4 linked regions of the Saccharomyces cerevisiae S288C genome follow. The gene in region 3 interacts genetically with the main gene of each other region. Each region holds a gene or a part of one and is shown on either strand. Other genes may lie near its edges. The genes, in order: GAS3, CHP1, ERD2 and ALO1.

Region 1 (7,588 bases), on a different chromosome or scaffold from region 3:
AACGTTAGCAGCTTCATTTAATCTCAAAACACCGTTATCGACCAAGATGGCATGGAATCTATCACCGATGGCTTCTGTCATCAATTTGGATGCAACAGTAGAATCAACACCACCGGAAACAGCACCAATGACTTCAGCAGTTGGACCGACCAGTTTTCTGATTCTGTTTATTTCAGTGTCGATAAAGTTTTCCATAGTCCAGTTTTGCTTAGCGTGACACAAATCAACGGCGAAGTTTTTCAAAAGAGTCTTACCTTGGGTAGAATGTGTAACTTCTGGGTGGAATTGAATACCATAGATTGGCTTAGTTTCGTGGACAATACCACAGTATGGGGAGTTATCGGAGGTGGCAATGGTCTTGTAACCAGTTGGCAAGCCGTGCAATTTATCACCGTGAGACATCCAGACAGTAGAGTCGTTCATACCTTTGAATAGAGAGTTGGAATCGTCAATCACCTTCAAAGTGGCAGGACCGTACTCTCTCTTGTCACCACGACCAACTTGTTTACCATTAATCCAAGCCAATTCTTGCATACCGTAACAGATACCCAGGATTGGAACGTTCAAATCAAAGATAGCATGGTCTACGTGTGGAGCGTCTTCAGCGTATACGGAATATGGACCACCAGAAAGAATGACACCCTTTGGAGTCCAGCCCAACTCAGAGATCTTCTGAGTGCATGGCAACATCTCAGCATAGATGTTAAACTCTCTTAATCTTCTGGTAATCAAATGAGAGTATTGAGAACCAAAGTCTAACACTAAGATAGTGTCAAACATGTTAGAAACTTGTTCACCGGCAGCCATTGTGAATATTGATGTCGTTAGTTTATTTTAGAATATAGATATTACCTACCAAATGACCCAGGGAAGTTAAACTACAACGAACGCAAGCTAATTAGAGACTACCGTGACCGAAACTATAACTCAACTAATGTTTTATAACTGTGAAATGAAAATGAAACTGAAAAAATGATAAAAAAAAGAAATATTTTTTCTCGATGCTCATCGCCAAAGAAAAAAAAAATTTTCATTTCCTGCAAGCAAGAAAAAGAAATGACGGCATGAAAAGAGTCAAAATGTCGGGAACCGAAGCCATTGTAGGGGAGCGAGAGGATGAAAGCATATTCCTGTCACCAACGTCACGAAGAAATGAGTCGGCTACTTGACAACCTTGTTTTTTCGCTGTTAAACATAATTAAAGGTTCTATTTGGCAACACCTCATAATTATATCACTATCCACGTGATATTAAATCGTTACGGACGAGCCTATATTATTTCCGGATTTTTTTCTAATTTCTTTTTCTATTTTTCTAAATCTTATCGTCGTTATTTATTTGAAAGAGAATAAACAATGAGTGTGGGCTATGAAAGAGCTATAGAGAAGTCACAGGATATAGAGGGATCTATTTGTAGCTGGCAAGTTAATAGAGATTGGAAAACTGATTCAAAATTGTTAGATCACCTGGCGCTGAGAAATAATTGTGTTTTTTGGTATAAATAGACACCCCCTTTTGAGGTTGAAGAGATAGAGTAAAGAAGAAGTGTAGACATTAATGGGTTCATCAATTAACTATCCTGGGTTTGTGACTAAAAGCGCTCATTTGGCTGACACTAGTACGGATGCGAGCATTTCATGTGAGGAAGCAACAAGCTCGCAGGAAGCGAAGAAGAATTTCTTTCAAAGGGATTATAACATGATGAAGAAGGCGCCTGCTCCAACGAAGTCTAAACTGTCTTTGGCCTTGCAGACTTCCAAGTCATCCTCTAGTGCCAACGGTACTGTACAAGAGGATACTTCCTCGAAGACAGAAGATTTTTCTACAAAGAGCATTAAGAAAAAACCAGATAGCGGCGTTGAATCGCATGTGTCCATCCAATCGGATTCGGGGCCACAATCAGACTCAGATTTGGATTCAGATTCCTCTATCTCATCATGTGACGAAAGGAACGAAGAGTCTTTGAAAGATTACAGGCCGGGTGGGTACCACCCTGCCTTTAAGGGCGAGCCCTATAAGGATGCACGCTACATTTTAGTAAGAAAGCTGGGATGGGGCCACTTCTCCACCGTTTGGTTGGCAAAGGATATGGTAAACAACACTCACGTTGCTATGAAGATTGTTCGGGGCGACAAAGTTTACACAGAAGCTGCTGAAGACGAAATTAAGCTTTTGCAAAGAGTGAATGACGCCGATAATACAAAGGAGGATTCCATGGGGGCTAATCATATTTTGAAATTGCTAGATCATTTCAACCATAAGGGCCCCAATGGCGTCCATGTGGTTATGGTATTTGAAGTCCTCGGCGAGAACTTACTGGCTTTGATAAAGAAGTATGAACATAGGGGCATTCCATTGATTTATGTCAAGCAAATATCGAAGCAGTTACTGCTTGGTCTTGATTACATGCATAGGCGGTGTGGTATTATACACACAGATATTAAACCAGAAAACGTGTTGATGGAGATTGGAGATGTTGAGGGTATCGTTCAAATGGTCGAGGCACTGGATAAACAGAAGAGAGAGGCAAAAAGGTTGCAGAGGCACGTTTCGCGGTCTTCTGATATTACCGCGAACGATAGCAGTGATGAGAAATGGGCAGAATGCCAAACAAGTATGCCCTGCGGCTCAAGCTCAAATTCCAAATCTCGTTCTATAGAGAAGGACTTGTCAAAAAGATGCTTTAGAAGACCTAGACGTCATACAATTATCACAGGGTCGCAACCATTACCTTCCCCAATTAGTTCATCAAATTTCTTTGAAATGAGGGCGCACTTTTGTGGTAGTAGTCACAATAGCTTTTCCTCCGTATCTGGGAATAGGAACATTCCATCTTCCATCAATAATAACAGTATTAATAATGGCATAGGCATTAAGAATAGCAACAATAGTTTCTTAAATTCAGTACCACATTCTGTGACCAGGATGTTCATAAATGAAGACAGTAATGATAACAACAATAATGATAATAGTAAAAATAAAAATAACAACAATAACAACAGTAACAACAATAATAACGAGGACATAATGAACACACCTTTGCATGAAGAGCAGCTGGCAGACTCTTTATCTACATTTGATATTTCCAATATATCACAAAGCTCCGATACAAATGGTCCATATATTTCTAATACTATGGATTCAAATTCAAACGTCAGTACCGATATCAACTCCCCAGAAAATTTGATTCAGATCAAGATTGCTGATTTAGGTAATGCTTGTTGGTATGACGAACATTACACGAATTCTATACAGACAAGAGAATACAGATCACCAGAGGTGTTACTAGGCGCCCCTTGGGGTTGTGGTGCAGATATATGGTCTACTGCTTGTCTAATTTTTGAATTGATTACCGGAGATTTTCTTTTCGAACCGGACGAAGGTCATTCCTACACTAAGGATGATGACCATATTGCACAAATCATCGAGTTATTGGGAGAATTACCATCATACCTTTTGAGGAACGGCAAATATACAAGAACTTTCTTCAATTCAAGAGGGCTTTTAAGAAATATCTCGAAATTGAAATTTTGGCCCTTAGAAGATGTTTTAACTGAAAAATATAAGTTTTCTAAGGACGAAGCCAAGGAAATATCTGATTTTTTGTCGCCTATGTTACAGCTAGACCCAAGGAAAAGAGCTGATGCAGGTGGCTTGGTTAACCATCCATGGCTCAAGGATACCTTGGGTATGGAAGAGATTCGGGTACCTGATAGAGAGTTGTACGGGAGTGGTTCCGATATCCCCGGATGGTTTGAAGAAGTCCGCGATCATAAAAGACATTGATTACCTTTATACCTTTATTTTGCCCTTGCCTTTTACTTTTTTTTCTGTTTAACCTCTTTTTTGCATACTTTAGTTCTCTGCTCAGTTGTTTATTTTTCAGTAGTTTTTTTGCAATTTTTTTTTTTTTTTTTACCAAAGTAAATTTGTAACACCTAGTATAATATTCTGAAGTAACAACAAAAGATTATGCTGATTCTCCTTTCTTTTATCTTTAGCGGTTTTTGAATCCATACTCGACATTTTTTGATTTTATTTTTTGCACCCAATGGTTGTCCTGGTGAAGGATGATGGGTGTGATACCTAAGCGTTTTTGATGAAAAGTTTACTATTTAAAAACATATAAATTGTTTTACATATGTTAAGATAAAAGAACACAAAAAAATAAAACGGTTGAAAACGAAAACAAGTCCATGGATGTTTCAAAAAAATACATGAGCAGCTCAGAGTAGAGCAGAAATCAGACCTGCAAATAATGCAAGGTATCCAGACTGACTAAAGGAAACATTAACAATATTTCCGACGCCTTTACTTTTGGAGCTGCTTGAAGCTGAAGATGAACCGGTGCTTGAAGATGAGCCAGTGCTTGAAGATGGACTGGTGCTTGAAGTTAAGGAGCGAGAAGATGATTGTGATGTGGAAGCTGACTTTGCGACCGTTGTGGCTGTGACGTCTAGTTCGTTCAGTGAGTTAGCTTTGTCGTATGAAATAGTAGCTGAAATGGTATCATCTTTATTGTTTTTAATTGTATAGTTAAAAGTAGTTGGAACAGCATAATCAGTCAATATCTTACCGGTGTTGGTGCCATTAACACCGTATTCAATCATATTGGCAATTTCTGCTGGTTGAGAAGGCAAAGTGAAATTGTTCGTTCCAAAGCCAGAATAAATATTGGTGATGGCACTGTTATCGCACTTGTAGATAGAGTCAGAAGATATTTCGCTTTCTTTTGTTGTTGGCAATGAAACGTTCTTCAATTGTGATTCTAAATTAACAAAATCATCCTTATAAGTTAAAGAACCGCTATCATCAAGCTTAACCAAACCGTAATTATTAGCTTCTTCAGTGTATTCGTATACCAACCCACCAGAGAAGACGTTCTTTAAACCACCATACAAACCCTCAGAGACTTCGTCAAAAGTTCTTGGTGTATTTTTGTTGCAACCATACTCAGAAAATATCAACGGAATAACAGCATCTTCGAAAGTTGAGTTTAACTTGTCATAGCCAGAAGATTCCCAACTAGAAGTGCCAGAGCACCATTCATAAGTATTTAGGCCAAAGAAATCAGATTTAGATATGTCCAAATCATCATTGACTTTGTTTCCATCCAACGAATTACACTGCAAGTACTTGAAGGTTGCTAACCTCAAATCAGTATTGTCAGCAGCAGAATATCCGACTGGGATGCTTCTGTTCGCATGTTTTGAAATATACTGTTTCATATCTCTTTGAACAGCGCGGATGTATGGAGGATCAATTTTTGCATAGTCGCTTTGATCATTTATGACTTCGTTGCCAGAAAAGAATCCTAGCACGTTAGGGTAGTTCTTGAAAGCGTCAATAAATTTGAAGACTCTTGACAAATACAAAGAGTCATATGTTCCAGATGGGTCAGCACGGTTCAAACTCTCCCCGTAATTACCACTATTAACATCCAAAATGGCGTAGATACCAGCATTGTTGAAGATAGTCATGCACTTGTCATGATTTAGGTCAGGGTTCAGGGAGTAAATTCTCACTGTGTTGACACCAAGTTGTTGGAAAGCGTAGGCGTCTCTGGCACACACTTCAGGGTCAGAAAGAATATCTGTATCAGAGTCAGCATCGTAACCAGACGACCCACCAGGCTGATAATCGACACCTTTCACAAAAAAAACTTCGTTATCGGATTCGCTATTTGTGGCAGAGGATGGCTTAATGAACCTATAATTCTTGATATGGATGGGGAGCATGGCATTCACCAGAGATGGTGTAGCAGCTAATGCTGCCAGTAGTATACTTTTAGATAGTTGCATCGCTAGCTAAACGACTTTGAGACCTGTGATCTTTGATCGAACAAAAGCAGGAAAGAGCAAAACACGGAAACAATAGATGTTCTATGTTATATAAGAACAGTATATGTTGTTGTTTATTTTCCTTTGTTTATTTATTTATTTTTCATTTTTTTTTGATAGAAAGCGCGCGAAAAAAATTCTCGAAGATGTCTGAAATTTACTGGTGTCGCTTTTTTCTTGCTTTTATTAGTATTAAAGCCAATGCCTATTACCGGATGCAGAAGACCAGTTGTCTATCTATATATGCATGTGTGCGTACGTAGGATTATCTGTCTACAACTCATCTTTGAGCATATTTTGCCCAGATTTGAAAGTCTTTGGCATGACAACGACGTAGTCTATGTACAAATCACCGTAACCCTTGCTACCCTTGGGCATGCCGAATCCCTTCACGACTTCAACTTCGCCATTGGAGACAACTACATGAGCGGGTCTAGATAACTTAACGGGCTTGTTCTCATCAAGGAATTCTATCGTTCTTTGCCATCCGCCGTATAGCGCTTCCGCAGCAGAAAGAACTTCTGTTCTGTACAGATTGTCGCCTCTTCTTCTGTAACCCATGTTCTCAGTATCCTTTTCCTTGAATTCTATGACCAAGTCACCGGCGTCAAAGTCAGGCCCTTTTTCAGCCTCGCCGACTCTTGTGTCCATGTAGTTTCTTGGTGCGCCTGGTGGAACGTCAACGTGGAAGAACTTGTTCTTTTTGGTAACTTTTTTGCCGTGACATGTTTTGCATTCATTTTTGATAATTTGTCCCGTACCACCACACCTACCACACATCTGTTGAATCTGCTGCGTCATAATACCCATGCGCAGCACTTGTATTATAACCCCACGACCTTGACAATCGGGACATTGGGCCAGCTTACCATCTGCAGAGCCACTACCATGGCATGCATCACATTCATCGTTTAGGTTTAAAGTAAATTCTATCGAGGACCCGGAATAAAACTGCTTTAAAGATAGTTTTTCCTGGACCTTGATCATTGGACCACGCTGCCTCTGTCTCTGGCCAAATCCGCCGCCAGGACCTCCATGACCTCCTTGAAACATCCGTTCGAATATGTCAAACGGATCGTGGAATCCACCTGCGCCAGGGCCTCCTGGACCGCCACCGCCACCGCCATTCTTTACAGCATCTGCACCAAACTGGTCATAAATCTTTTTCTTTTCAGGATCGCTCAATACATCGTATGCCTCGCCGACTTCAATGAATTTTTGATGGGCTTCTTCGCTCCCAGCATTTTTATCCGGATGGTACTTCTTAGACAATTGTCTGTACGCTGATTTGATTTCCTTCTCAGTGGCATCTTTGTCTATCTCTAGTATTGCATAATAATCCTGCGCCAAAATTAGCGGCAACAACAATAAAGATAGTATCAAATGTATATATAATTTTGGAATCATTGTCCTCGATCTTTTCGCCAGCCAATGCACGCTCTTCTGGCCTATCCACCATGTTTTGTCAGTACTACATCTTATTACCATCGCTGGTTTGCCGATGTGGCCAACTTGGCAAGAAAACGTTCTAACTCCGGGTAATGCGTTGTCACAAGTCCTCTATGTCCTAGTTCATAAAAGTTATATTAATGCTATACTAATGCTATATGGAAGAAGAAGAATTTAGCATGGCTTGAAGACGCTTTCTACGACCCTCAAGCGATCGTATCTCTTGTCGGTAGGCGTAGTAATCAGCGTAGTACTTGCGTTGCCCTTCAATCAAAGCGGGCAGGCTGTGATGGCAGAGG
Region 2 (7,544 bases), on a different chromosome or scaffold from region 3:
AAACTACTGACTACACTGCCGGCACTGGTGGTGGCACTTATACCCAAACTTACCGCGAAACTAACACTCAAGGTCAGTTGGACGACGATGAAGACGATGACTTCTTGACTTCGGGCCAACAGCAAAAACAAGGTCGTACAAGAGGTGCTCAAAGTAACCGCTACCAATCCTCTAATATCGGCAGCGGTAGACGCGATCTGTCTGGGTCAGGAAACGATGAATATGATGATGATAGTGGGAACCAAGGCGTCTGGTAGATGCGGTGGTCGAAGCTTCTATTACATGCCTGAGGTGCGGGTCTCACCCTTGAGCAGCAAGTGAGAAATTTTACCCTAATTTCGTCTTCTTTTTTCTTTTTTCTTCATCTGGACCTATTATTGGTCATGATGCCACTTTTTACAAACTATTTCATATGTTTAATCTAGTTTATTTAGATCTACAGCTGTCAGTTTATACGTTTTTATTAATGTCAGTTTGATTTGATTAGTAGTGACCTTTTTCGTCGAGGTATGCCGTTTCACGGACCTCCAGATCCAGGTGTATAACAATAGAATTATGGGAAAACGGGGTGGGAAGGTCGTTGTCTAACTCAAACCTCCTGGAATTAGCGGGTAAAGTGTCGTTATTGTGCTGGGCAACAACTTTTTTTTACGATTTCTTTTTACCTCTCATCTAGGTTAGTGTTAGTTGTAAAAACCCGAGCAGATTGGTGCCTTTTCAAGTGCGTTCTTACAACCATACTTTTTTATTCTAGAACGTGTAAGCAATTACTTTCTCAAAAAAGCAAACGCAATAAAGATATGCTACGGATAAGTATTGACTCTATCAAGCAATTCGGTTCCTTTGTGCCAGGTTATAACAACACTAGTTACCATGCTGCCGGGAGGGCCATAAGAACATCAAGCCTGTACAGTACAATGATCTCAGCCAACCCGAGAAGGTGCCTGCATTCTTCGAAACTGCTAAATAAAGAAGGTCAAGAAGAGGGCTATAATGAACAGCTCATTTCAAAAATGTCTTCACAGAATGGATCGAATTCCAGACAGAATGAAAGTGAAGGAAAGAAGGAAGGCAAGGCTTCCTCTGTGAAGTCGTTGTTGCAACATACTCATAGTCACAGCCACACACATATGCATGACAATCCTTTATTGTCACTGAACGTACAGCAGATCAAGAAGAATCCTGGCGTAAGAATAACATGGATAGGACTTGCATCAAATGTGGGGATGGCAGTAGGAAAATTTGTAGGAGGAATCACTTTTCATTCTCAAGCATTACTTGCTGATTCCGTACATGCTCTTAGCGATTTGGTATCTGATTTTTTAACACTGTTTTCTGTCCAATATGCGTCTCGTAAACCAACTTCGGAGTACCCATATGGCTATGGTAAAGTGGAAACTGTGGGATCTTTGGCAGTATCCACAATCTTAGCAATGGCTGGTATATCTATCGGTTGGTCGTCGTTATGCGCTATTGTGGGGCCTGTCATTCCTCATGCCATTCTAGAATCGATGGCCGGTTTAATTGGTGAAACGCATTCCCATTCTCAGTCGCTAACACAACAGGCAACTAATGTAAATGCTGTATGGATAGCAGCGGGTTCTATCTTGGTTAAAGAATGGGTTTTTCAGGCAACAAAGAAAGTTGCAATCCAAACAAATTCTAATGTACTAATGGCAAACGCCTGGCATCATCGTGTTGACTCCTTGACATCGTTGGTAGCGTTGGTCGCTATCACATCTAGTTATTTTTTCAACATTCAATCCTTAGATAATTTAGGTGGGCTTGTAGTGTCAGGTTTGATCATAAAAACAGGTGGACAAGGTATCTTATCCTCACTGAAGGAGTTAGTTGACCAATCTATACCACCTACTGATCCGCGTTATCTAGAAATCGAATCTGTCATAAAAGACAGCATTGGCAGTTTGAAAACAGACTTAGATCTCAAACAGTCGTTACATGTTAGAGACCTTACTATATTAGCTTCCGGTCCTAATCTTCGTGCCACCACAACTTTGGAAGTGCCAGTATTACATTCAGGTCAGGAAGTTGGGATAAGATTTTTGGAAAACGCTATTTCGACTATAAGAGAGGATTTACGTATGAAGGTGCCAAACGTGGGGAAGGTGGACGTCGAGTTTGTTGATGTAACCTCTGACTCTAAAGGTGATTTGGAGCACTCTCATGACACTAAATCAACAAATCATACTCATACTCATTCTGATTCTGCCGATACTCACACCCATAAACATTAGGGAATTCTCAATGATGAATTTTTTCAAAAGTTAAGAGCAAAAGTACAGCCTTTCACATTTCAACAATTTACTGAGCTTAATATATATATGTATATATATATATGTTGAACAAGGAAGAATGCCTTGTGTTGTTCCTTTGTATAAAGTAATGTATTCTATATAATCAATCACAAATATATATGCATGTTCATTTCTGACCGACAATCCAATCGTTCAAGCCGTGTTTATTTCTAGCAATTTCAAAAGCGTAAAATTGTAGTCTCACGACAAAACAAGTAGTAAATTGACCATACTCGGCTGAAGCGTCTGTCCTCAACAAAGTACCAAAGTTATAGTCTTCGATTTTTTTCTCAAAAATTGTGAAGAACTTTCTCCATCTTTCCTTGGCTTCTTTTGTTTTTAATTCTTCCTCCGTAAACTTTTTGACCCTTTCAACATCTTTGTATTCTGGGAATCTCTCCATAAAATTCTCGTATATTTCGTCATCAAACTTAGTCAAACGTAACTTGGAACCGGGAACACTTGTTAATAGTTTCCAATATGTTTCCGCTTGTTCAACAGCAACAACAGCGAATTGTTTCTCGATATCTTCCAAGTTATCAGCGGTTTCTGCATTAAAAGTAGACATTGTTATATGATTGTTTCGTCGTGGTTCTTCTAGTCCATCTAACCAGATGTAGCTTTAACGGGTGAAAATTATCATTACTTCTGCTAGTCGAAGAATTTATGGATGTTCATCACTCCCTAGTACAACCTCTTACCCGGACAATTTCTTCAACAATGTTCATTCATCTTTAGTTTAATGAGGGATTTATAAGGTGAAAGCCAGTAGTAAAAGTGTATTTAACCCCTTTAAATTATCGCAAACTGTGCCTAGCAGTTCAGGAGTTATTTTTGGTATACTTTTGGAGCACGATTCATAACCTCATGTAAGAAATAATAATCAATCTTCGTGTATTTTTAAAATAATAATCCTTAACAACGACCTCTTACATAAATTTGTAGTTCAACATCGACAATTGTTAGCATCAAAAAGGATCCCTTAAGTTTAAGTTTACATAATTAATCTGCGTACCGTACATATATGAAAAGAACCAATATTAACTACTCTGTATGAAAAATGAATTAACCTAGAAAACAAAAAAGGAAGGAGAGCGTCATATGCTTGTCCTAAATTCTATCAACGTAGTAAACTCCATTTGAGGAGTGAATTAAAGAAAAAAGATGGAGTGAAACAAACGAAGTTAGCGAAGATAAAACACTAGCCAGTAGGCTTTCAATCTTCTTCATCGTCAGTATCAACTGGTTTTGGTGTACCTTTTGGCGATGACAACCACTCAATGTAACGTAGACGACGACGTTCGGCTTGCAGCTTCTTTTCATTTCTTGTCAATCTCTTCTTTCTTTGCTTGACCTTGATGTTAGCTGGAGAATCATCGTCATCTACAGATGGCTTGGCCAAGTTGGAGGCCTTTAGACCAACGGCATCAGCATTACCACCATCTTCGAATTTGGATTGGTCAACTTGTGCAGAGCCCTTTTGAACCATTTTACCGTTCTCCACAATCCATTGTTCAGGACATAAAGCACCAACAAATTCGTTATTATGCGAAATCATAACGACACCACCACTCCAGTCACGAATAGCAACGGCCAAAGCACCAAGAGAGTCTCTGTCCAAATAGTTGGTAGGTTCATCCAAAACAAGTAAATGAGGGTTGTTCCACATAGCACCGGCAATAACGACTTTAACTAATTGACCACCAGATAAAGAACCTAATGGAGTATGGTTAGCAATTTCAGAATCAAGACCAACGTCTTCAAAATGTTTGGTGATAACTGAAGGAATTAATTCACGGTAACCCAACCCTTCTCTGGAGGCTTCGTGATCGTCGAATTTTTGAACCAATTTTTCAAAGCCATGCTCGACCAAAACATCTTTTGGAACCCAGGAGTTGTATTTTGGTTTCCAGTATTTCCATTTGACCTCATATTGGAAAGATTTTTTCAACTTTTGTCTACCTACAATAGCTTCAATGGCTCTCTTACCTCTACCGTCATCAATGTCGATTTCCTTTGTCATCATTTCCTTTTCATCTTCGGATATTTTTCTGGATTCCTTCAATAAGACTTCACGGTCGTCACCGAATTGATAACGCCATTGCAAATATTGGTTTGCCGTCTTTTCCTTATGTTCATTGACGTGTTGCAATGCATGCTGAGCAATATAACCAATACGTAAATTTGGATGTTTTTCCACTTTACCTTCATTTGGAACCAATTCACCAGTTAATAGCTTGATCAAAGTGGATTTACCAGCACCGTTAGGACCTAAACAAGCCACACGAGAAGACAGAGACAATGAACAGGAGACATGGCTTAAGGAAGGCTTTTGGGCACCTGGATAAGAGAAAGTTACATCAGTCATTTTAGCGACGGCTCTAGTGTTAGACTTAACACCTGTTAAAATACCTGGGGGTGGGAAACGCATTTGAGCATTAGAATCTGTTAAGGTATAGTAAGATTTAGCTTCAGGTTTCTGCTCAACAAATGCTGCCAAGTTACCTTTGTAGTAAGCCAATTTCTTGTTTTCATAATGGATGATGTCAGTACAGACTGTATCTAAGAAACCAGAGTCATGCGAAACAATCAATGAAGTAATATCAGTATGTTCCAGTAAGTATTCTTCTAACCATTTAACGTTCGAAACATCTAAATGATTGGTAGGTTCATCCAGCAATAAAATATCAGCTTTTTGTAACATAGCTCTTGCCAATTCCAACTTCATTTTCCAACCACCAGATAAAGATCCAACAGTTTGTGCTCTTCTCTCTTCATCAAAACCGACAGATTCTAAAGCGGCTGCAATTTCCTCACGAGAAGTAGATTGCAGTTCTTCATCTAAAGCAATGAAGGAAACCAAGTCTAAATCACCTTCTTCACCTTGCAATTTATGTTCGACGAAACAGGTGCGTAATGTATCCTTGTCAGGAAAACCATCCAATTGACCATTAGCAATTGCTCTCATTAAAGTAGACTTACCAGCACCATTTCTACCACACAAACCGTAACGATGACCCTTTAGGAGACGAAGATTTGTTTTGTTCAAAAGCATTCTTGAACCATAAGCTAAGGAGAAATCAGTGTTGACAATCTCAATACCTTCGTCCTCATCTGCCCTTTCCTTTTCTTGGTAGAATAAAGCTCTCAAGTTATGGATAAAGTCTTGTTTGACAAATTCTCTTTGTGAATCTGAACCACCAAAAACGGCGGTCAAAAAATCTTCAAGTCTTTTCCAGTCGTTCACATTAGAATCCACGGTCAAAATCTTGCTCATATACTTGATAACAGTTTCGTCATTCATGTAAGGCTTGACAAAACAGGAATCATCAGCTTTAATGTCCTTGAGGTGATCAAGTAAGAAATCCCTACCTTCTTCTAAAGTCAGTCTGCCTGAGAATTTGTTTTCCTTATCAGCTTCGTCATCTTCTTTTAGAACGTTAAGGGCCTTTTCAGCCAATTCACGAACTTCAGGTAAGGACGCAGTATCAACAACCTTTTGGATACCGGGTAGTAGTAGAGGGATGAAGCTTTCAATTTCATTACGATTATTCACCAATCTTGTCAAATTCTCCACGACAATAACGGTTTGTCTTAATTGCTCTTGAGATGATGACGATAGGTTTAAAGATCTGTTTAGAATAGGAACTAACAAAGATAGTGAAGGTTCCGTAACTTCAGCGACAAATGTAACACTGGATAACGATTTTACAGATTCAGGAACCTTAGATGGATCTTGCAGGGTGTCCACGATCAATTTATAACGAGGAGACAAATCTAAGTTATCCAAAATAGAAACGTAGTCCAATAAAGTTTTGTAACCTTGTTTGGCCAATTCAGGTTTGAAATCAGTTGCTACATCGGTTAAAACTGGAACTGCATCTTTGAAAGTAAGTTCCAATAAATCGTTCGCCGAATCTTCTCTTATTCTATCTACAACGCTTAGAGCGGCCATTTTAGCTTGCCATTTGGCACCAGATGATAAGTAATCCAAAATCGTAGGCAGTACAAAACAGGTTAAAGCCTCCATTGGAAAGCAATTCAACAAAGAATCAATGGCATGTTGCGCGGCACGTTTGACTGTATTCTCTTTATCTGAAATACAGTCAAGTGCGACATTGAAGAATGGTAGCAAGTATGCTTCCTGTGGTGGCTTTCCACTGAAAAATTGAGCAATGTTGGAAATTATTAGCATGGCAGATTCTCTAACTAATGATGGATTCTTAGGTTTGATGAATTTAGATAGAACATCGACGATTTTCCACTCTTCAATTTTCTCACCCGTACTGTTACCTTCTTTGCCAAATTCTTCAATGATTAGTTTGATTTGATTTTTGCAATCAGTGATACTTTGACATTCAGGTATCTTTGACAAAAATTGAGAGATGGGTGTTAACTCTAAGTTCGACAGCTTTTCATTCAAAGAGGTCAAAGATGTAGTAGAAGCAGATGGAGTTGGAGTTCCACTTTGGTTGGGCGTCACAGCCGATTGTTTGTAAGTAGATTTTTGATAGCCCTGGCCATTGTATTTATTATAGTTATTGTAGTTGTTATAATTGTTGTAGTTGTTGTAGTTGTTGTAATTGTTGTAATTACTGTTATACGATTGGTAACCACCTTGTTGGTAGTTGCCCCCCTGTTTCCAATTACGCTGTTGTTGGTAGCTACTTTTTTTGGAAGCGTTATTACTACCGGCATCAGCAGCAGGGTTTTTAAAATAACCACCGAAGGGAGAAGCGACTAGATTTGGGTCCTTTGGTTGGTCGTCAAGGAAAGAGTTTAGATCCTTAAACTTCTTTGGAGGCATCCTGAGTTGAATTAGCACTGATTGTCGTTGTATTTACAGTTTACAAGATATAAATTATGCACTATAGATCGACGCATATGTATTATCTTAAATAGGTTGCAATATATTATTATTTTTTAACATTTATTGCGATGCTGCTGAAAATTTTTTTTCCACCTTGAAACTTTTCTTTTTCCATTGAAAAATTAGATGTGGTGTTTGGGTTTATTCCATTTGATCTTGTAACTTCTATACTAGTCACAACTAACAAGTCCAAAGTCAAGTGTACATAGTTATCCTATTTTCACCGTTATCACTTCAGTACCTTTTAATTTATATATATTAATGCACATGGCTCTGTTGTATCTTTCGAAGCAGTGTATGCCATTTTTTTCATGAGAAAGCGAAATTTGGCGTATTCGAAAAAAAGTGTAAACAAGAAG
Region 3 (7,738 bases):
GCTGATTGCGCCACCATTGTCATTTAGGGAACCCAATGCCAAATGACCTTTGGCCTTACAAAGAGTCCAAATCAAAAAACCGAAGGCCGCAAATGGAGTGATGGCGGATTTGAGTGCAAATATATGACGCAATTTGTCAGGTGGAAACCATAGGAACGGTAAACATGCGACCCAGAAGACCATGAAGCACATGAACTCGAAGTTCGTCAAATTGGGGTTCTTTATGGTGTCTTTGATTCTAGTATTCAAATTAGTACCGAAGATAGCCTTTAGCATCAACTGAACACATTGACTACCGATATAAGCCAAAGTAGAATTCCAGACACATGCCATGACGACACGGTTGATGACAATCCAGATGGAGAAGTAGATACCAAATGATACTCTTGAGGAAATGGGGAAAGAGATATGGTAATTGTTCCCCACTTTGGAACCCAGTATCAAGAAAAATGCGACAAACGTGTATCCAACCCAAATACAGATCCAAGTCTGCCACCAGTTAAGCCCTAACTGTAGCCCAGTGGCTGAGATTTGCCATGTATTGACGTTAAAGGACCCAGAAATCCAAAAGAAAATGTACTGCTTCCATGTCCACGTTCTTCTTTTTGCCTCCACGGGCCGCAGATCTGTGTTGTACAAGTACGTCGAACGGAGGGACTCCTGTAAATCTTTAAATGTCCTAATTGGATTTTCGGGCTTATGATCGGCCAAATCGGTAGAGTCATTCTTAACCTCAAAAAACTCGACAACTCTTTGCAGCCAAGACACCTTTTCGTCATCCTGAGCAATGGTTATATTGTTTTCTGAATCGGTATCTTTTTTTTCAATGACATTAGCATCAATCTTAGAAGTAATTTTAGTCGCATCACCCATCTCGGACTCTTTCGTGATTTCTTCGTAATCCTCCGTCGGTATAGTGTCGTCCTTCATTGTTTTTGAAGAATTATCGAATCCAGAATCAGATACCGGCATTTTCTCTTATATAGAATTAATGAATGAGAGGACTAGTTACCGCCTTTTATTTCCGCAATGTGCTGCAAAGTAAAGCAAAGCTGTCCAATACTATGTTTTAAATTTTACAAGAAGGTCGAAGCAATACTACTGTTATATAAAAGATAGGATAGCATGTCATCGAGTAATTGAGCAAGAGAGGAAATGAAAAACTTTTCCGTTGGAGAATTGATCAAAAATTTTCAAAAATACGACATGTCCCTGTGTTGTCCAGGCTGACACAATAGTTTCAGTAGCGAGAACCGCCAAGTTTTATTGCAGCATCCTTTAATGGCAAAGATGGCGCGATAAGGACGAAACCGGCAAATCCCGAGCATCAACCACAGTGAACGCCGCGGAGAAACTCAAAGGCGAAAGGGGAGAAAAAAAGAAATTAATGGCACATACCGCTTTGTGGCATGGCTCAATCACATTTCTTTTTCTTCTTTCTGATCGCCCGCAGGAGAGGCAGCGCCGTTTGTGTCCCATCGCAAGGACAAACTAGCTAGGACATGAGACTTCTAAGCCGTTCAGTCGAAAGAGTTAGGGCATTAGTCTCTAAAGATAAGTGTGGGGGCTTGGTTGAGTCTTGATTTAAAAGCTTGGAGTAGGCATTTTACGATCTATTTTCTCTCGAAATAAAGTAAAGGTATTGCTGCAAAGGAATTGCCGTAATATTTAAAACTTCTTGCTTAAGTGATGTAAAGGCAGTGAGGCGATAGCAATGTTTCGTAGAGCCTGTGACTAGTGAAGCATAGGCAATAAATTGTTTTTTTTTTCTGATTTTGTATTGCCGTCTCTGCGTCGCAGAGATTTGGTGTTCGTACGGAGCGATAATTGTTTTTATCTTTTCCAACTTAAAGGATCGAGGAAACTCAAAGGGTGGCAAAAACAAGCGGTATAATACAAGGTGAACTGAGTTGGAAAGAGAGTAGCCAAGACTATTGAACTATAAAGTTAAACAAAATATGGCCACTATTGCATCAGAATACTCTTCGGAGGCGTCAAATACACCCATTGAACATCAATTCAATCCTTACGGTGATAATGGTGGTACAATCCTGGGCATTGCAGGTGAAGATTTCGCAGTGTTAGCAGGCGATACAAGAAATATCACCGATTACTCAATTAATTCTCGTTATGAACCCAAGGTTTTTGATTGTGGTGATAACATAGTCATGTCGGCGAATGGATTTGCAGCAGACGGCGACGCTTTAGTAAAAAGATTCAAAAATAGTGTAAAATGGTACCATTTCGACCACAACGACAAAAAACTATCTATAAACTCTGCAGCAAGGAACATTCAACATCTTCTGTACGGGAAGAGGTTTTTCCCTTACTACGTTCATACGATCATTGCGGGTCTTGACGAAGATGGTAAGGGCGCTGTCTATTCGTTCGACCCAGTTGGCTCCTACGAAAGAGAACAGTGTAGAGCAGGTGGTGCTGCGGCATCATTGATCATGCCATTTTTGGACAATCAGGTTAATTTCAAAAATCAATATGAGCCAGGTACAAACGGTAAAGTCAAAAAGCCTTTGAAATACTTGTCCGTGGAAGAAGTCATCAAACTGGTGAGAGACTCGTTCACTTCTGCTACAGAAAGACATATACAAGTGGGTGATGGGCTGGAAATCCTTATTGTCACCAAGGATGGTGTAAGGAAAGAATTTTATGAGCTAAAAAGAGATTAATGCATACATATCATAGTATAAAAAGAAATAGACCAATATCAACATCAATTTTATGTATTTTTTTTTTCTTTTGGTATAGCATTGATATATTGAAATTTGTATATATTGCTGCGAACACTATTTAAAACAGGTTTTTTTTTTATTTTGGCAGTTTGAAACCCTTTCCTCTGATGACTTTAGTGTAGTAAATGTAAAAGAAATCAGAGTACAACAGAGTTTGCAAAAGTCCCGCGAAGAAGGCAATCTTGTCCAATTTTTTATCTTCCGTGCTGTACCTCCAAATCCAGTTAGGAATATACAATGCTCTGTATAATCCCATGGCAAAAATATAATGAACAGTTAGACTTCTAGTCTTCCCACCCTTAGATAGCATGTACAATTGAGGTAGAATAGCCACACTCTCCAACCATACAGAAAAACTCCATGCTAATTCAAGAAAAGTGAACTTGTGATGGAAAAAAACACTCATTAGAGCACTCCCAATTAGTAAATGCTGGATCTTAAAGGTATCATGCATAAGCATTTCATTATACGCAATGGTGTTGGTTCTTTTAGACCCTTGTAATAGCACTACAATGTAAGCGGTAGATACAATGAAAAATATTTTCATTAGAGCATTGTATAGGGATACCCAGTGAAAAGTCAAGAGATCCAAGTATCGTGTTATGAAAACCAAAGCGTACAACGTTTGGGTCTTGAAAGAAATACCTTCAATGTACCTTGTGGTCTTGATATTATGAATCAGGATCAGTATACTGGTTAGATGTGATAAATCACCTGTCTTGATGGTCGGGAAAAAGCCCTTTCTCTGTTAGTAAGATTGGGTTCGATCTACGGCGGGAAAAGCCTCATGAAACTCCAAATAGTAACATACCTAAGATTCTAAACGGATTCATTGCTTACTGATTATGCCTCAACTTGCGCGTATATCTCACTCTTGAACAAGTGCCCTCAGCAAATTCATCTGCCTCGAAATTTGAACTTATTTTTAACGTGTTCAATATTTAGCTAAAACGTCGTTTTCAGTCCGGGTACCGCAGATAAGCCATCCCGGATCTTTAAAGGAAAACGAGGAATTCAGTGGTGCAGACTACACTTTAATCTCAATTGACCAAAGTGAGTCCTCAAGTAAGACGAATATTATTTTTCTTTCACGACTCAATTGAATTCCTAATAACACTTTTGTTTGCTGTATTAGCTTTTAGCTTTGAGAGCGATGAAGCAAGAGAGAAAAATAAGGGTAGAAAAAAAAATTAGAAATTGAGGAGGGGAAGGTATTCTAACCTGGTGAATTCCCAGATACATAAGTATAAGAATTTCTCGGCAGAGATTATATACAATAAAGAATAAGGTTCAGTTGGACGATTGCGATAGTAGCGTGAATAACAATTTACTTTAATCAATCGTTAGGATACTTCTAATGGGCTTTTTTAACAATAATCCGGTAATTGAATTCTTCCACAGAATAACGAGAAAACCCAGTACCATTGCGATGTGGGTGTTTGCTGGTCTGATTTGTTCAAGTACATTTTATTTAATGTTCATGTCATCACCTACAATCGACTTCAACTCGAAGAGTAAGAAAAAAAATGATAAATAATCTCCCTGTTCAGTACTTTGGTAAAAGCACGCCATGGAAAATTATTTAGAACTTCCTTATACAAAACTAAATATTTGAGCATATTCTATATTCATACATAGATACATTCTTTGAATTTCAAGACTCTTATTTCTCATTTTGAAAGCCAAGATTGGAGGAAAAATCGTAAATTTTTATCCAGTCAGTAACAACTGTTGGCCAGTCGAAAACTCTATCGAAACAGCTTCTATATGTCAGATAAGATAGATTTATTAAATTAAATATATTCAGGAGAGGAAAGACAACATGAACGAAAAAAAAAAAACAGTGTAGAGAAGCACTACAAATATTTTCTCTTCCAAAAAATATAATATACATAAAAAAATTAGAAATTTATCTTTGTTAATGCAGTAGACTTTTAATTCTAAAATTTTGATTTAAAAGTTGAATTTGTTTTCGCCGGCCTCAAGATCGTACTTACCTTCAATGACATCTTGAAGGATACCAGCGGAAGCAGCAACTAAACCCAAAAATGGTTTGGATGGATCTAAGACCTTTGATGTGTATTCTGGGTGATATTGAGTAGCAATATAGTATGGGTGATTCTTTAATTCCAAAATCTCACAACGCTTTCCAGTGTCGTCCTTACCTACAAAGATCAACCCGTTGTTTTCCAATTCATCAACCATCTTTGGATTGATTTCGTAACGGTGACGGTGTCTTTCATGGACTTCGGAGACGTCACCGTATAACTTCTTGATTTGACTCCATTCAGTTTCATTTTGGAAAAATGTTGGTCTCAAACCTAATCTCATTGAGCCCCCCATGGTTTCCTTGTCAATTTCAGGCATGAAAACGACAACGTGATTTTTTTCATCAATGTCTGGATAAAATTCTGCCGAATGACTGTCTTTTCTTCCCAACACACTACGTGTAAATTCAATGGTGGCAATTTGTAAACCCAGGCAAACCCCTAAGAATGGAATGTGATTTTCACGAGCCCATCTAGCAGCCAAAACCATACCTTCAGTACCTCTAACACCAAAACCACCGGGGATTAAGATACCGTCTGCGGTACTGACCATGTTCCATGCTTCATGAAATTTAGTTTTGTTGCTTTCTTGTGCTTCAGGTTCCAAATCAGTAGCTTCCACCCATTTAATGTCTAACTTACGACGACACTTCATGGATGAATGTTCCAATGCTTTTATCACTGATAGATAAGAATCTTTCAAGTTGGTGTATTTCCCAACCAAAGCAATCTTCACTGTTTCCATGGATTCATCGAAGTTACCTGTTGTGGCCTTCCATTTAGACAATAATTCCAGGCCTCTTTGTTTTTCTTCTTCTGTAAGTGATATTTCATCTAACTTTAATCTGGCGTGTAAGTAATCAATCATCTTTTGTTCCAGTAGCAACAATGGGACGTGATAAGTAGAATTAACATCGTGAACGTTAACCACCTGTTCAGGCCCCACATGACAAAACATGGCAATCTTATCGATTGTTGGTTTATCCAAAGTTTCACTACATCTACAGGCGATCATATCTGGAACTAAACCAAGAGACCTCAAACCTTTGATGGCAGCTTGAGTTGGCTTAGTTTTTTGTTCACCGTGGATGACAGGAACTAGAGAAACGTGTATCAAGGCAAAATTTTCCTTTCCAACTTTAAATTGGAATTGTCTTAGTGCCTCCACAAAAGGAGCACTTTCAATGTCACCAACTGTCCCACCCAATTCAATGATACAAACATCTGGTTCCATACCGGTGTCATCTACAGGAATTTTGGCCACGCGCTCAATCCAATCTTGGATAGCGTTGGTCAAATGAGGGACAATTTGCACGGTTTTGCCTAAATAGTCACCTTTTCTTTCCTTAGCAATAACGTGCGAGTATATTTTACCAGTAGTAATGTTATGATCTTTAGTCAAAGTAACTCCAAGGTATCTCTCGTAGTTACCCAAGTCCAAATCTGTTTCACCACCGTCGTCAAGCACGAAACATTCACCATGTTCCAAAGGAGACATAGTACCTGCATCAATGTTCATATAAGGGTCAATTTTAATTGACGTAACCTTTAAACCGAGGGTTTTCATTAGCATACCAGTTGAAGATGCAAGAACACCTTTACCGATACCCGAAATGACACCACCTGAAACAACAACGTACTTCATTTTCTGTCTATAAGTTTCTTTTGTTCTATTGACCAATTCACTGAGAAACTGCCTGAAACTTTTTCGACCTTAGAATGGCAGAAAAATGGCAAATACTGTAAAATACTTAACATTTAACTAAATTTTATTCTATGCTTTTCCTCTCGATGAGATGAGCTGTGAAAAATTTTGAAAAAAAAAAAAAAAAAAAAAAAAAAAAAAATTTGTTATCACCAATAACGAGAAACCTAACTCTAAAACTTAGGGTCAAAGAACAGAACCCTAGGCTTTGTATCCAGTTGAATCACTAATTACGAAAGAATGCTGGTGGAAATAATAATATCATATTGGTGCTCAAATAACAAGAAGACTTCTTTGGAAGAAATTATTACCAATTAACAGTCCACTTGTAGAGCGTACATATTGCCGGGAAGTTGATTACCTTTCACCAGAGGTACAGAGGAATAGAATTTTGCAACATGTTCCCCTATTTAACAAGAATGAATTTATCCATAAAGATGGGAGGGCTAACTTTAAAAGAAAGTTCCCCCAATGCTTTTTTAAATAACACCACTATTGCTAGGAGATTCAAGCATGAATATGCCCCACGTTTCAAAATCGTACAGAAAAAGCAAAAAGGTAGAGTGCCAGTTCGTACAGGTGGTTCAATAAAGGGATCCACTTTGCAATTTGGTAAGTACGGATTACGACTGAAAAGCGAAGGTATTAGGATATCCGCGCAACAGCTGAAGGAAGCAGATAACGCAATTATGAGATATGTCAGGCCTTTAAACAATGGTCATTTGTGGAGGCGTTTGTGTACAAACGTTGCTGTATGTATCAAGGGTAACGAAACAAGAATGGGTAAAGGTAAAGGTGGGTTTGACCACTGGATGGTGAGGGTACCCACAGGGAAGATCCTTTTCGAAATAAATGGTGATGATTTGCATGAAAAAGTCGCACGGGAAGCCTTCAGAAAAGCAGGCACCAAGTTACCTGGGGTATATGAATTTGTATCCTTGGATTCTCTGGTTAGAGTTGGATTACATAGTTTCAAAAATCCTAAAGACGACCCAGTGAAGAATTTTTACGATGAAAATGCAAAGAAGCCATCAAAGAAGTATTTGAATATTTTAAAGTCTCAAGAACCACAGTACAAACTCTTCAGAGGACGTTGAACGGATTGAACACACCATGTATACATGTATATAACTATTGAAAAATATCGATATTCACAATCAAGTAATCTAGCCATGGCTATGAGTTTATTAATTCTAGTATGCACTGTATACTCTCTGCGGAAGAATAGGAGTTTTTCC
Region 4 (8,979 bases), on a different chromosome or scaffold from region 3:
TATTCTCGTATGCCCCATCTACAAACACTACCGCAATCTTACACTCTCTTTTCCACGTCTTCTGCTCCTCGTTGATAGGTTTCGCCGTGGCTAACTGTAATATCCTTACTTTGCCATTGCGATGCGCGCACTTCCTTCTTACATACTCTCTGCACCGTTTGGCAACTCTATAAGAGGGGAAGCAAAAGCACGTTTCGTTTTCTTTAGCATACTTTTCTATTAAAATATCACGCAGCTTTTGAATCGAGGGGTGGATCCAAAACCTGGGGTAGCCAGACTTTAAACACCCTAAAACTTTGGGGTCTTTCTCCACATACGAAATTACAGATTTCCATGTCGGGAAACATACAGATACCGCATGTTGAGTGTCCAGTGGTATAGGCTGTCCTAGCTCGGTAGCCACTTGCGCTGAAACCATATTATAATGTCCTATAGAAGAAGAAAATGTCAGGAAAACTTCGCCTATAGCCCTTACTCTCTGCGTGGCCCTGCTATACTTCTTTCACTATTGAGAGGCAATTTTTTCATCAAATTTTCATTGCGAATTTTCCAGACGGCATCGCACAGGTAGTCGGGTAACACGAAGATGTGGTTTTTCAACTTGGTAAGGACTGCTATTAAAGAGGTCAGTCGATACAACGAGAGAAACTTAAACTTACACGTCTATCCTTGGCGTCCATGTTGAGCATGGTATTATCTTCACCTGCTGCCTGTCTTTAAATCGAGGGTATCCGCACCGCAGTTCGTGACCTGTGCCTGCGTTATGCGAGAGCAAAAGGGCCCTTAACGAGCCGGCACCTAAACGAAAATTTCAAGGGTTTTTTTGGCGGTGCCTAATAAGGAACGCGCAGAACAATAGACCCTGCCGGTAAACGATGGCCTTGCAGTCGTATACTGTTAAAACTGTTGAGTGGGTGAATGGCAGGGCCTAACTGCTTGCCTAGGAGTACCGCAGGAACGGTACGAATCGAGTGGAGACAGCAAACCTTGACGTGTGCTTGCTTTTAAACGGGTCGGAGAATTTACTCTTGAGCATATACGTGTGGGCATATGCATACAAATATATAAATACATTCGGGTGTATACGTAAATATATAAATATATAAAGTAACATATGTATATAAAGACGAAAGATTGAACGCCATCGTGGAGAGGGTTTTCGTATGAAGGTGCCTTAAGTCTTGTGTAGAAGTAGTTCTTTAGTTAAGATAGAACCTGGTAAAGACTCAATGGACTATTTACATGTATATAACAACAACCAGGCGCACGTTCCCAGAACACCTCCAGGCAGGCAGTGCCTATCGCCCGTTCTGCCCCCAATCATATTGGCGTTAGATCAACAACATTCGCTGACATTTGGGTACTCCAGCCCCAGGTGCTTGCCAACACCCATATTGCCTTCTATGAGCACAAATACGCCCGTCCATTGGTCACAACAGGTTGTCACTATCCCTGTCGCTGTACGAAATCATGCCGCAATGATGCCTATTATCACACCTATGACCTCCCCAAGACCTCAGTTTGAAGCAACGGCTCCCTCACCCCCTTTGGCCCCGGTCGCCATAAAGCTGCCAGATTTGAAACTACCACCGTCGCCTGTGCCCAGCACAGTAGAGGACAGAGTTTCACATCCTATCCTGCCCAAAATTGTGATCGGGAATGGCGGCGGCCGTGATGTTGAGCGAGATAGTACCGAGGAATTAATTAGGAAGATTCCAAACTACATTGGTTGTGCAAAAACAAAGGCACAATTGAGCAAAGTTAGGTCTGGTAAACAACTAATTGCATGCGCACAGGAATATCACCATCCAGTAAACAAGGACGAGATCGAAAATATCAACAACATTCTAAACTTCAGGGACTTTATTTTCAAGCATCCAAAATCCTCCTTCGAGTTCCTATGTACCCTGTCGTTTGAGCAGTTCGTTAGAGTATATTCATTCATTAGTTTCATCTACAGGACAAAGAAAATCAATAAGAACAAGTACGAACTCGTTTGTGAGATGAATGTTCACGAGCAACTCAGCAATAAGCGTATACAAAGAACAAGGACTCCTGAAAAGTACAAAATACATTTGATCTGCGAGTCAAAACTCATACTGACCTTCAACCACTGTACGAAGACAGTAAAATTTGAGTCTATCAATGGCGGGCACTGCCATCCGATTTCAGCCAACCACATTATCAAGCCCTCCCTCTTCCTTACCCACTGCATTAATAAATGCTACCAGACCGTGTCAGACCCTACCGATTTGAAATTGGCATTGAGAGACGCCTTAGAAGCCCTTGATCATGAAAGGATAGGATTGTCTTTCTTAAAGAGGAGACATTTCAAGTGCTCACACCAAGCATCATCACTCTCGAATGCCAGCGCCACATTGAAGAAACAAGAAGATCATGACACATTTGGTGTACATACAGGAATAATTCATACGGCAAATTTCTTCATGTTTAATGCATCTAGCGATATATTCCAGAGGAACTAACATATATAAATATCTGTATCCTTCTTTAAGAAAACACAATTGCATACTTTTTCCATTATAACTGACTGTTTCAGATCCTGCAATAGAAAGTATTTTTTAAGTAATGAAATAGTGCTTCCATTGATAGTAAGTGAGTAATAAGACGATCGGAAACTATTAATATAAGTATAGTTTACATATATATATATATATATGTGCCAGACGATAATATCACCGTAGTTTCCGGCCGGGTTATGCCACGCGAAAACGCCTCGAGCCAAGGGAAAAACTAAACTACAAAACAAAACAAAACAAAACAAAAACATCTACTATATCGTTTTACCCAATTCAGTATATCCGTCTACAACAGTTCTCGCCACCCAAGATCTGTAAACTTACAACTGCAAACAAACAATGAGAGAAGTTATTAGTATTAATGGTATGTTCGATTTGCCCGTCCAGGCTAGATCTTTTTTTTGTTAGTTCATTTTGGCGTTTCATCTTTCATTACTAACTTCAACGCAAAATTTTTTTTTTTTTGATTTCTCTTTACAGTCGGTCAAGCTGGTTGTCAGATTGGTAATGCCTGTTGGGAATTATATTCCCTTGAGCACGGTATTAAGCCGGATGGACATCTAGAAGATGGCCTTTCAAAGCCGAAGGGAGGAGAAGAGGGTTTCTCCACGTTTTTCCATGAAACCGGCTACGGTAAGTTCGTTCCAAGGGCTATTTACGTGGATTTAGAGCCCAACGTTATTGACGAAGTCCGTAACGGTCCTTACAAGGACTTGTTCCATCCAGAACAGTTGATCAGTGGTAAGGAGGACGCGGCTAATAATTATGCAAGAGGCCATTACACCGTTGGTAGAGAAATTTTGGGCGATGTTCTGGATAGGATTAGAAAACTGGCAGACCAATGTGATGGGTTACAAGGGTTCTTGTTTACCCATTCTCTTGGTGGTGGTACTGGTTCCGGTCTAGGGTCCTTACTGTTGGAAGAACTATCCGCTGAATACGGTAAGAAATCCAAGCTGGAATTTGCCGTATACCCTGCTCCACAAGTGTCTACTTCTGTGGTTGAGCCTTACAACACAGTTTTAACTACACATACTACATTGGAACATGCAGATTGTACTTTCATGGTCGATAATGAGGCTATTTACGACATGTGCAAAAGAAACTTGGATATCCCAAGACCAAGCTTTGCAAACTTAAACAACCTAATTGCTCAAGTGGTATCATCTGTTACAGCATCATTGAGATTCGACGGTTCATTAAATGTAGATTTGAACGAATTTCAAACCAATTTGGTTCCATATCCAAGAATTCATTTCCCCTTAGTTTCATATTCTCCAGTCTTATCCAAATCAAAGGCATTCCATGAGTCCAACTCTGTGTCAGAAATTACAAACGCTTGTTTTGAACCTGGTAACCAGATGGTCAAGTGTGATCCAAGAGATGGTAAATACATGGCTACTTGTCTGTTATACAGGGGTGATGTGGTAACAAGAGATGTTCAAAGAGCTGTCGAGCAGGTGAAAAACAAGAAGACCGTCCAATTGGTTGATTGGTGTCCAACTGGTTTCAAGATCGGTATTTGCTACGAACCTCCAACTGCCACACCAAACTCACAATTGGCCACTGTGGATAGGGCCGTCTGTATGTTGTCAAATACCACATCCATTGCTGAGGCTTGGAAGAGAATCGATAGAAAATTCGATTTAATGTATGCCAAACGTGCTTTCGTCCACTGGTATGTCGGTGAAGGTATGGAAGAAGGTGAATTCACCGAAGCTAGAGAAGATTTGGCTGCTTTAGAAAGAGATTACATCGAAGTGGGTGCCGACTCATACGCTGAGGAAGAGGAATTTTAAGGTTCACTCTCGCCCCCAACCTCCTTATCCTTTCTATATTTCAAGTATATTGTAAAAAAAAAAATTCCCCCTACTGTTATATCTCTTTGGTGATATCTTATCTATAATCTACTTATTATATTTCTCTAATATCTATGTACAAAAAATAAAAAAAAAAACCATTCTCCTTCTCTAACCTGCATTTGATGAAAGCTTAGTAAGTCTCATCGTAGTTGATGGGCCAAAGACATTTGTACTTGTTTCATCAGATTCTTACATCACCCATTTCCATGATTATTTCACGGATTTCATTAGTAATTGCATTTTTGTATCCCTAGTTCCTTTTCTCCCGCCTTGCCGTCGAATTGAAAAAAAAAATGGAAATGAGGACATCTTCCATTGATATCCAGGACAAAGCAAGAGTAGAAGTAACTATTAGCAAGGAGAATTCCAAAAATAGTGAACTTCAAGGTAAGCAGATCTATAGTTTCAATATCTGATTTTCTGCTTTTCAAAACTTAAAATTCATTAGAAGGTAAAACAAGAACCCGTAAAATTAAAGTTACCGATATTATCAGGTTTTTCACCCCATGTCTACTATCCCATTTAGAAAGAACTATGTGTTCAAAAACTGGGCCGGAATTTATTCTGCAAAACCAGAACGTTACTTCCAACCAAGTTCAATTGATGAGGTTGTCGAGTTAGTAAAGAGTGCCAGGCTAGCTGAAAAAAGCTTAGTTACTGTTGGTTCGGGCCATTCTCCTAGTAACATGTGCGTTACTGATGAATGGCTTGTTAACTTAGACAGATTGGACAAAGTACAAAAGTTTGTTGAATATCCTGAGTTACATTATGCCGATGTCACAGTTGATGCCGGTATGAGGCTTTACCAATTGAATGAATTTTTGGGTGCGAAAGGTTACTCTATCCAAAATTTAGGCTCTATCTCAGAACAAAGTGTTGCTGGCATAATCTCTACTGGTAGTCATGGTTCCTCACCTTATCACGGTTTGATTTCTTCTCAATACGTAAACTTGACTATTGTTAATGGTAAGGGCGAATTGAAGTTCTTGGATGCTGAAAACGATCCAGAAGTCTTTAAAGCTGCTTTACTTTCAGTTGGAAAAATTGGTATCATTGTCTCTGCTACTATCAGGGTTGTTCCCGGCTTCAATATTAAATCCACTCAAGAAGTGATTACTTTTGAAAACCTTTTGAAGCAATGGGATACCCTATGGACTTCATCTGAATTTATCAGAGTTTGGTGGTACCCTTATACTAGAAAATGTGTTCTATGGAGGGGTAACAAAACTACAGATGCCCAAAATGGTCCAGCCAAGTCATGGTGGGGTACCAAGCTGGGTAGATTTTTCTACGAAACTCTATTATGGATCTCTACCAAAATCTATGCGCCATTAACCCCATTTGTGGAAAAGTTCGTTTTCAACAGGCAATACGGGAAATTGGAGAAGAGCTCTACTGGTGATGTTAATGTTACCGATTCTATCAGCGGATTTAATATGGACTGTTTGTTTTCACAATTTGTTGATGAATGGGGGTGCCCTATGGATAATGGTTTGGAAGTCTTACGTTCATTGGATCATTCTATTGCGCAGGCTGCCATAAACAAAGAATTTTATGTCCACGTGCCTATGGAAGTCCGTTGCTCAAATACTACATTACCTTCTGAACCCTTGGATACTAGCAAGAGAACAAACACCAGTCCCGGTCCCGTTTATGGCAATGTGTGCCGCCCATTCCTGGATAACACACCATCCCATTGCAGATTTGCTCCGTTGGAAAATGTTACCAACAGTCAGTTGACGTTGTACATAAATGCTACCATTTATAGGCCGTTTGGCTGTAATACTCCAATTCATAAATGGTTTACCCTTTTTGAAAATACTATGATGGTAGCGGGAGGTAAGCCACATTGGGCCAAGAACTTCCTAGGCTCAACCACTCTAGCTGCTGGACCAGTGAAAAAGGATACTGATTACGATGACTTTGAAATGAGGGGGATGGCATTGAAGGTTGAAGAATGGTATGGCGAGGATTTGAAAAAGTTCCGGAAAATAAGAAAGGAGCAAGATCCCGATAATGTATTCTTGGCAAACAAACAGTGGGCTATCATAAATGGTATTATAGATCCTAGTGAGTTGTCCGACTAGTCTCTTTTTGTCTCAATAATCTCTATATTTTACTAAAAAAGAATATATATATATATATATATAGCAGTGTGATGACTGTTCATGTACATTCTAATAACTATTCCTAGCTGCCTATCAAAGACTTTTTTTTTGAATTAGAGCTTTTTAGTAATCATGGGACCCTTTTTTCTTTTCATTATCCTTACTATAGTTTTTTTTTTTTGGAAAAGCCGAACGCGGTAATGATTGGTCGTATAAGCAAAAACGAAACATCGGCATGGCGTAACGTAGATCCATCTACAGGGAAGTTTTTAGAAATCAGATAGAAATGTATTTTGAGTGCTGTATATATTGCAGTACTTTTTTTCTCTCTAGGATTTAAGTATGTTTAGTATTAACTCATATCACATTTTTTCTTTGTAAAAAGCAACCATTCGCAACAATGTCGATAGTAGAGACATGCATATCTTTTGTTTCGACAAATCCGTTTTATCCATTTTGTACTGGATTGCTTCTGAATTGTGTGGTTACACCTCTTTACTTTTGGAAAACGCAAAATGGTAGAATCGTGGTCGTTTCATTGCTGCAATTCGTAGTACTTTATGCCACAGCGTTTATTTCGATTGGAACTGATAAATCTCTTTACAGAAATAAATGGGTCGCGCTACCGCTATCCAAGAAGACCCGCATTTCTCGTAATACTAGTCTGTACTGCTTCAAGTTAAAGTACCCATTTGAAAGATTGCATATTCCCATGGGATACCACCTGGCAGTAAGGGTTACAATAAATGGTGAGCGATTAGTGAGGTACTATACGCCAGTAAATGTTCCTAATACGGAGGGTCACTTGGAATTAGTAGTCAAGACGTATAAACATGGTGTCGTTTCTAAGTATTTTGATAAATTAAAAATTCGCCAGTATGTTGAATTTAAAGGGCCGTTAGGTGAGCTGGAATATGATCAGGACACCGCAACAGAGTTGGGTATAATCGCAGGGGGGTCTGGTATAACCCCTGTATTGCAAGTGCTGCAAGAAATCATACCCTCTCCAGAAGACCTAACACACATTTCTTTGATATACGCAAACGAAACAGAGGATGACATTCTCATGAAATCGCAACTAGACCACATGGCTAAGGAGTACCCGCATTTTAAAGTTCATTATGTAATTCATAAGCCAAACGGTAAATGGAACGGTGATGTTGGGTACGTAACTCTAGAGGAAATGAAAAGATACCTACCTAAACAAGCGGAGGACCATCGTTTATTGATTTGCGGACCACCTAAAATGAATGAAATGGTTTTGAATTATGCAAAGGAGTTGGGGTGGAGTAATGGGTTTCACAAAGGTAATGGAACCGATAAAGTTTTTGTTTTTTAATCAACTGTTTACGATTGATGATTTTTCATGTAAATAAGCATTAATTATATTTAGATATATATTCGTATTTTATTAATAATTAGGAGGAATAAAGTCCGACATTTTTTTCAAAAAAAAAAAAATAATATTTCACAACGAAAAATCTATAAATAAAATATTTAACATATGCTCTTCCAAATGTACATACTTTCAATTGATTTCACTCAATGACAACGCAATGGCCAATTGTAAGTCTTCATCAACATTATTACTAGCATCAACGCCAACAGAACTACCGATAGTGTTCTCAGTTGAGGTTCGTTCGGATGACTCTGCTGCACCATATGTAGCAAAATTATCGTCGCTCAAGGGCCCATTTCGTCGACCTGTAGTATGATTTCTAAGATGTCTTCTCCTTTCGTCCTCCACTCTTGATTGTCTGATGGCTCTGAGAAACTCTTCATCATCTTCATCTATCTCATCATTCGTATTATTACCATGATTCGCAGAGCTATTCGTTTGCGTCTCATATATCAGTTGAGATTCCTCCAGCGCCCTTCTTAACTGCTCATCTTCATCATCTCCGACAGGCTCCCCCGCTTCAGCTTGATTCCGTGCTTGCGCCTCCTGTGATTCTAAGAGTGCAATTCTCAACTGAATGTCGTTTTCTTCATCGGTGTCGCCTGAAAGTTCAAGGTCTCCACCATACGCATCGATCAATCTTGATATTTCTGACTGTCTTTTTCTTCTAAGGTCTTCATCTTCATCATAATATTGCAGCTCCGTGTTCAAAGTTTCATTCCACTTATTGCTTACTGTGTTTTTACCTTTAGTGGAATGGTGATGTTTCTTTGAATCACTTGAAACAAACTTTAAATAATTCAAAACGTTACCGCTTCCCATAATGATTTTATCCTGCGATACCTTCAAAAATTCGGGAAACTTCTCGGTTTTCAACACTGTCTTTATTAACTCGCCTGTCATCGCGTTCAATATTTGAAGAACATTTGGCAATGCTACCACAACTATTAAATTTGTCACCTGCGATACGTATACCTGCTCATCAAAACTTATCTTACATTGAACTTTTAAGCCTGACGAAGAAAGATCTCTTATATTGATAATGTATAAAGTGTTCTGTGTCGTCAAAA

Evidence for each region.
Region 1: mutations in ERD2 (region 3) and GAS3 together harm fitness less than expected from each alone (positive genetic interaction), as found in Saccharomyces cerevisiae (one large-scale study listed by BioGRID).
Region 2: mutations in ERD2 (region 3) and CHP1 together harm fitness more than expected from each alone (negative genetic interaction), as found in Saccharomyces cerevisiae (one large-scale study listed by BioGRID).
Region 4: mutations in ERD2 (region 3) and ALO1 together harm fitness less than expected from each alone (positive genetic interaction), as found in Saccharomyces cerevisiae (one large-scale study listed by BioGRID).

Annotation. Positions count from the first base shown.
Region 1 is NC_001145.3:695,009-702,596, reverse strand, and holds GAS3 (putative 1,3-beta-glucanosyltransferase), read right to left. Parts: upstream 5,802-7,588; coding exon 4,227-5,801; downstream 1-4,226. Other genes in the region: GUA1 (GMP synthase (glutamine-hydrolyzing)), read right to left, coding at 1-807; serine/threonine protein kinase SKY1, read left to right, coding at 1,558-3,786; SCJ1 (Scj1p), read right to left, coding at 6,114-7,247; CEF1 (Cef1p), read right to left, coding at 7,444-7,588. UniProt on the Saccharomyces cerevisiae protein: Splits internally a 1,3-beta-glucan molecule and transfers the newly generated reducing end (the donor) to the non-reducing end of another 1,3-beta-glucan molecule (the acceptor) forming a 1,3-beta linkage, resulting in the elongation of 1,3-beta-glucan chains in the cell wall.
Region 2 is NC_001148.4:121,345-128,888, reverse strand, and holds CHP1 (ribosome-associated Tef1p biogenesis chaperone CHP1), read right to left. Parts: upstream 2,884-7,544; coding exon 2,443-2,883; downstream 1-2,442. Other genes in the region: GRE1 (Gre1p), read left to right, coding at 1-257; MMT2 (Mmt2p), read left to right, coding at 801-2,255; NEW1 (New1p), read right to left, coding at 3,532-7,122.
Region 3 is NC_001134.8:139,289-147,026, forward strand, and holds ERD2 (Erd2p), read right to left. Parts: upstream 3,581-7,738; coding exon 3,559-3,580; intron 3,462-3,558; coding exon 2,824-3,461; downstream 1-2,823. Other genes in the region: FUI1 (uridine permease), read right to left, coding at 1-972; PRE7 (proteasome core particle subunit beta 6), read left to right, coding at 1,959-2,684; MIN6 (Min6p), read left to right, coding at 4,105-4,284; CTP synthase URA7, read right to left, coding at 4,701-6,440; mitochondrial 54S ribosomal protein uL16m MRPL16, read left to right, coding at 6,899-7,597. UniProt on the Saccharomyces cerevisiae protein: Required for the retention of luminal endoplasmic reticulum proteins. Determines the specificity of the luminal ER protein retention system. Also required for normal vesicular traffic through the Golgi.
Region 4 is NC_001145.3:93,301-102,279, reverse strand, and holds ALO1 (D-arabinono-1,4-lactone oxidase), read left to right. Parts: upstream 1-4,908; coding exon 4,909-6,489; downstream 6,490-8,979. Other genes in the region: YML082W (putative cystathionine gamma-synthase), read right to left, coding at 1-418; YML083C (uncharacterized protein), read left to right, coding at 1,230-2,486; alpha-tubulin TUB1, read left to right, coding at 2,880-2,904, 3,021-4,339; AIM33 (cytochrome-b5 reductase), read left to right, coding at 6,911-7,849; SCF ubiquitin ligase complex subunit UFO1, read right to left, coding at 8,039-8,979. UniProt on the Saccharomyces cerevisiae protein: Can oxidize L-gulono-1,4-lactone as well as D-arabinono-1,4-lactone and L-galactono-1,4-lactone.